2 linked regions of the Bombyx mori genome follow. The protein of the gene in region 2 interacts with the protein of the main gene of each other region in a pairwise test. Links are inferred from orthologs where the notes say so. Each region holds a gene or a part of one and is shown on either strand. Other genes may lie near its edges.

Region 1 (3,602 bases), on a different chromosome or scaffold from region 2:
ATCAGTGTTTGAATCCCACAAGCAGATGCCGCTAAAATAGGTACTTAACAAATGTTCACGATTGACTTCCACAGTGAAGTAATAGCATCGTGTAATAAGAATCAAACCTGCAAAATTATAATTTACATAATCACTGGTGGTAAGACGTCTTGTAAGTCTGCACAGGTAGGTACCACCACCCTGCCTGTTGTTACTGTCAAGCATTAATGCATTTCGGTTTGTATGATGGGGCAGCTGTTATACTGTTAAAAGTGAGACGTAAATGTCTACAGGCTCCAGTAGCCACATAAAACAAGGTGGGCCGAGAGCTCATCCATAAATCTAAGTAATAATTTACTCATGGTAGAAATAGACAGAATAGTGGTAATTAACAAGGTGCAGTTACAATCTGTTTGTACATCTATTCAGTTTGAGTCATAAATACTTTCTTTTCTTTAATTGTTCTGTCGAGGGCACTTCTATGATTATTGAGGTTGACTACATTTGTAGAAATCACAATTGTTGACAATAAATCTGGTACAGCCTCAATTATATTTTAATATTAACTTAAAAACTAAATTAAGTACATACAATAAACATTCATAACATGTGCAAAAACTTATAATACATCTACAATACATTCATTTCGTTTATTTAAGTATTTTAATTAGTAATTAATTGTTAAGTATTTTAAACATGTGTAAATAAAAGGAAATTTCTTTAAAACACCGTTTAGATTTAAATAGAAGAAAACTTTATAATTAAATTCACACTAACAAAGTTTTCATTTAATATATAAATAAATAGCAGATTGAATATTTTTCAATACTTGAATAGTTCCCAATTTTTAATAGCCATGGTCTCCAACTGCCAACTGATTGGGTGTAAAAGTAATATAGGTTTTTATAAAATTAAATAAAGTTTTACAATGCCTTAAAGATTATCAAAGTTCCTCATTAAAACATAGGATAAAAATAACAGGTACATTAATACACTTTGTTTGATAAATGACTGCAAAGCCGGTGAAAAATTTTAGTTGTAGTTTTGGCGTCGCCGTGTAGTTCTTTGCTTGTCGAATCTCATCTCCATTTCCTCCAAGACCTTTGGTGTGTACCTGACAACTAATTTTACGGATCCCACGGCTTGCTTCAGAAGTTCTACGGCTTTCTCGTGATTCTCGCCTTCAACTGAGACTCCGTTAACGGATAAAAGTTGATCACCCCTCTTCAAGCCACCATGTCTGTCAGCAACTCCGCCCGGTATTATCCTAGATATATAAATCGGAGAATTTTGTTCTTTTCCGCCCATTACGTTGAACCCTAAGCCTTCCTCAGTTTTCGGCAGTTCCACTACTCGAGGGTGAGCGTGTCCTTCTGCAGCAGCAAATGCGGCCACCGTTGCCTTTGCAGTTGCGGAAGCTCTTATGTCTGCGGAGCCTTGTATGTCTACAGTCTCGTAGACGTGCTCGTAAACCTCTCTTACGGCATTTAGAAAGTCGCTCTGCAAAACTTTCTGGAGAGCAGCTAATTTCGTTGCAGGGACTTCGCCACTCTGTTGCAGTTTCTCGAGTAATTCAATGGCACGTTTTATATCCCTAGCTAACGTTAACTGTTCGCCAGTGGTAGTCATTTTGAACACTTTTTGAAACTAAAGTAGTATACACAAAATTGTGAGTATAAATTAACACGAAATATACTTTTAGAGAATAATAAATTTATGTAGAAATCAGTGATTCAGTGACTAAATCAAATCAATTGAATTCAAAGAGTAAAATATAGATGATACACTTAAAAAAATAAGAAGAGTACTAGGTATCTATGGTGTTAAGAAATAAAAGGATTGGACTATATTTTTAAGTGTGTAGGATATTTCTGGGGATTGGATTGTATGTTCAAAAAATCTGTACAATAACGGACAGAAATTATCACTGAGATACACAAATAAGAGAATGACTGACGATAACTAGGTATCTGTTATACTTGATGAACATATGCCTTCCACAAAAAACATCACTGCACTTACCAAGACAGCCAAGATTAAACGGTTTTCAACTTATATAATTTTTAAATTGTATAGACAGGTTAAAGAACTCACGACCAACTTATTTTCAAGTGGGTACCGAATTCCTCCGCAGGATGTTAGTACTATCCGAGATTGGAAAGTAGGCTTACTCTTCATCTCAAACAATTCTGTTTAACTGCCAGGGAAATAGGAATATGAGAGAGTTAACAATAAAGTCACTTTTACTCAAATTAGTTTGTGAAGTTTTGGACTTGAATCACATCAAGTGTTCCATGATAAGTTTAAAAAGTCAAATTCATCATATAATTACTACTGATGCTCCATCAGTGTCCGCTCATGAAACCTGGCACCCACTAACTTATTGCAGCCCAACCATCGGTTTTCTTTTCCTTTCCTTTACCTATAAAATTGGATAAAACTAAAACAGAACATGAAACGGAAAAATGTCAAAATGTCAGTTGTCAATTATATAGCGACTAAGAATTTTATTATTTACAATTCAATAAAAACATGTTTGATTCGTCTATCCACGAACAGTATTAACAAGTAATTTCTTGCTCATTTATACATATTTAGCTGTGCAACTGTGCCATTTGTTATTTGTGTTAGTGTAGTGAAAAACTTAATCTTAAGTCTGAAGAAAATATGGATGACCTAGGTGAGTTCATGTTATCATAACCTGTTTGTGTACTCCAAATTGAATGCCCTATGACGTGTTCTCCTAAAAATAACTTTGAATTTGCATTTGATTCCTTGCCGAATCTTCTAGTGAATTTACATGGTACATTATAATATACTTGACATGTTTACTTTCGTTTGATAAAGTTTATCACTGTCATTTGGGTCATAAGTTAATTATTTAATTGATAATGCTTAAAGTTTCTTCGGTAATTCAAGGTTTTAGCATGTATAAGCTCTAAGTAAATTATTCCTCCTGATTATGATTGCTTTCTTAAACAACAATTGTGTCAAGTGACGAAACAGCTGATGAGTTTTATTGAAATCATTAAAGATACGTAGGTACCTACTATACCTAGTTTTGGAATTAACTTATGAAAACAGTGTTTCATAAGTAGTAAGACACTTTCTTTTGATAAACAATCTTTTTACATAGAGCTGTTACTAAAACTGCTGTTGTACATTATTGACAATAGTCACTATTGACAATGATCATCTATTAAGTCATGTGGCTTCGTTTTAAATCAATGAAAACAAGGCTTAATTGAGATTCAGAATGTGTAAATAAAATAGCTCGTACAGCTTTGTATATCCTATTGAATTCTGACATTATGAATTCTGGCTAAAATAATGGAAAAGTGATTATTTCAATGCAAGTGAGACTTACAAATAGTTTTAAAAGGTGGTTACACACTATGAATTCAAGTCATTCATTTCCATCAATTGCAATTTAAGGTTAACTTTCCATCAATGCTATTGTGGCTTGGCTCTGCCCCTGGTATTGCTTATGTCCATCGCCATCTTCGTGGTACGTATACATCGTTCTACAAGAGCAATAAAAAAAATATAAAAGAGAATTTTGATAGGTTAAATTCTACCTTAAACACCATAATACAACTAAGGAACTTGTGAGGTGTGTTGCC
Region 2 (3,517 bases):
GCACCGGTGTTCGAATCACAGGCGGGTACCAATTTTTCTAATGAAATACGTACTTAACAAATGTTCACGATTGACTTCCACGGTGAAGGAATAATAACTATATATAACAGTTGTAACTATACTGAGATCTTAGAACTTATATCTCAAGGTGGGTGGCGCATTTACGTTGTAGATGTCTATGGACTCCAGTAACTAGGTGGGCTGTGAGCTCGTCCATCCATCTTAAGCAATAAAAAAAAATGTAATAAAAATCAAACCCGCAAAATTATAATGCGCGTAATTATTGGTGGTAGGACCTCTTGTGAGTCCGCACCGGTAGGTACCACCCACCCTGCCTATTTTTGCCGTGAAGCAGTAAGTCGTTTCGGTTTGAAGGGTGGAGCAGCCGTTGTAACTATACTGAGACCTTAGAACTCATATCTCGACGGTATTGCAGACGGGGACACGCAAAGAAATAAAGCATATTTTTGCATGATTGTATAATTAAAAAATTTAATCGATAGATCATATTAATATGTATGGTCTGCTGCAAAAAGGAAAAATGGAGCGTACAGGTGACAGTATGGTACCCGAGGTGTGAGAAGGATGAGGATGGTGTGAGAAGCCGAGGTCGCAAACCAAGAAGATGGGAGGATGAACTAAAAATTACCACTGGACCCCTTTGGATAAGAGTAGCAAGAGACAGAAAGCAGTGGAAAGAGTTGGAGGAAGCCTTGGCAGAGGCACACCGACACGAGACATTTTATAGTGGAAGTGTAGATTTTAATCTTATATTTTGTTTTCATATAATATATTGCTTTTTTCCGTTTTTTTTAGTCTACTTGAAATTGTTAGTTTAAAATGTAAAATGTTCGGAAAATAAAGGTATTATTATTATGATTTAAACTAAGTCGTCGACAATATCTTTGCTAACCATCAATTTACATACTATATGCTGTAGGGTATATTTTTCTTTATTTTTAGTTTGCAATTACATATAAATGTTTGAATTAGGACTATACATGCGTCTGTTATTAGCGTCACATACCGTGAATGCTCTGGATGATTCCTTATCGAATGTGGAACGCGCGTTTGCCGCAGTCCGCGTTTCGACCATCCTCTCCAAGGACGGAGGCTTAATGAACACGATGTAGGGACGCAGGCGCGGAGTTCGAAGCATCTTTAGGGCCTGCCAATGCGGACTCAACACACACACACGACCTGAAGAGAACAATTTCCAGAATAAGTTCACGAGGGTACTTCCTAATTAATTTATCGAAGTTATATTTGGACTTTTTGGCGGAAACGCGAGGAGTGTAATTGTGTGATTTGTTTTGTTTTGTCTATTTAGTGTTTCTTCAGGTTTAAATGTGTAATAACGGTGGTTTATTTAACTGTTTAATATCTCTGAAAGTGCACAAATGTGGGAAAATGAAACAAAGCCGCTGAACGTAGCTTCTCGGGATCCTCCAAAAAGTCCACTGAAAAAATCTCCGTAAATGACCACCATTTTACTGAGATTATATTTCATCCCATATCATCTCATCTGATTTCATTTATTCCATTTCATAATATAATTTTTCATAAAAATAAGAATATAAATTAAAATAAGACATGACTTAAAGGTCTTCATTACCAGATCAATATTTCCACCCATCTAAGCATTAAAAAAATCTATATCGATTTCCTTCATTCAATACGTAGCACGTGTTTTATTTTTATGTGTATGTGAATAAAAGTCATCATCATCTTCTTACTGGTGGTAGGACCTCATGTGAGACCGCACGGGTAGGTACCACACCCGTGCAGTCTCACATGAGGTGACGTTGTAGATGTCTATGGGCTCCAGTAACCACTTAACACCAGGTGGGCTGTGAGATCGTCCGCCCATATAAGCAATAAAAAAAAAATTCCAAAAAGTAAACGAGAAATAAGATTAGATTAAAAAAGCAGCTACATGTTACCAGATGTCAAAATTGGCTGGCTGACAAATCCTCGAACACATTAAAAAATCCAATGATAAATTTTGTATTAAACTAATGATTCATGCAGTGTACGTAATGTAAGACGATATATTTATATAAATAATCAGCTAACGAGCGGAAACTACAAGCTTGTGCGACGCAGGTGAATGACCGCTAGAAGCATTCGCTGTGCATTGCTGGTTAACTATACTTAAACATGAACATGCATAAATGCAAATTAATATTTATAAATTTAAACAAAAAATGCTTATTTCACAGCAAGTATATTATTAATTTATCAAGTTTTTTTTTACCAGTATTAATAATAGTCTCGACGCTTTCGGCAGCGGTCCCATAAAGATTGCCCTTGTATTCACCATGCTCTATGAATTTCCCATCGGTTATATCCTGTTCCATTTTTTCCCGAGTTACGAACACGTAATCTTTACCATTCTGTTCGCTTGATTTTATAGGACGCGACGTATCTGTAATGTTTAAAATTTATTTACAGATTAGCAAATCTCGTGAACAAAGATTTCTTTTATGAATTTATTAGCGCGCCTTAGTCTGGATACTGGTCCATAAACTAGCCGTACTCGCCCGCTTCGCTGGGTATTTAAAATTAACATTATTATTTATTGTCATTATTATTAGGGAGTCCAACACTCATATAAATATTAGCCTATTCATTAAGTACATGTATTTTCTACATGGAAACCAAGTTTCAAATCAATCGGATGCACTGTTCAATAGTTATAACGGAACATCCGTAAAAACCATTGTAGATTTATAGATTAAAGTATAGATTTCATTTAACTTTTTTCAGACATTTGCGTGGCCGAGTACCGAACATACAAATGCACGAAGGATATGATTTTTTTAGTTTATGATTTATGACATTTATGATAATAATATCAGTATAGATGTTTTTTTTAAAGTAAATTTGATAATAATATTGTTCGTACCACCACCCCGCCTATTTCTGTCGTGAAGCAGTAATGCGTTTCGGTTTGAAGGGTGGGAGCCATTGTAACTATACTGAGACCTTAGAACTTATGTCTCAAGGTGGGTGGCGCATTTACGCTGTAGCTGTCTATGGGCTCCAGTAACCACTTAACAACAGGTGGGCTGTGAGCTCGTCCACCCATCTTAAGCAATAAAAAATAAAAACTTACACGGTATCGGAGTGATGTACTTCTCCGGGTCCGTAGCGACGAGCCTCCGTCTCAGTTCGTTTCTGCCGACGCCGGGCGCTCCGATCAACACGATCGGGCGTACCAGACCCGGCCTCGGGTACAGCCGGGCGACCTCCTCGTACGTCGGTATCAATTCTCTATCGAAATCGTCGTTCTCCGTTATGTCGTATATGATCTTCTTGACTTTCGGAATCGACTTGCAGGGCAGGAGCGCTGTGGCCGTCGGCGTCGGTGAACATGGCGTTTTCGGGGCACAGTCAGAACTGGACGCAGACGGACTACAAAGGGCGGGCTTACCTAAAAACACCGCAACAACAGATCAAGCTTTTCTTGTAGACCGCAAAAAGTGAGGGTAGGATGAAATTTCAAAGAAATGCA

Evidence for each region.
Region 1: the proteins of MAGUK p55 subfamily member 7 (region 2) and protein lin-7 homolog C interact in a two-hybrid assay, tested with the Drosophila melanogaster proteins (2 studies listed by BioGRID). The link is inferred for Bombyx mori from reciprocal best matches to the Drosophila melanogaster genes metro and veli.

What each region holds. Positions count from the first base shown.
Region 1 is NC_085116.1:14,601,498-14,605,099, forward strand, and holds protein lin-7 homolog C, read right to left. Parts: upstream 2,380-3,602; 5' UTR 1,609-2,379; coding exon 1,012-1,608; 3' UTR 513-1,011; downstream 1-512.
Region 2 is NC_085107.1:10,946,295-10,949,811, reverse strand, and holds part of MAGUK p55 subfamily member 7, read right to left. Parts: intron 3,437-3,517; coding exon 3,119-3,436; intron 2,429-3,118; coding exon 2,258-2,428; intron 1,201-2,257; coding exon 1,028-1,200; intron 1-1,027.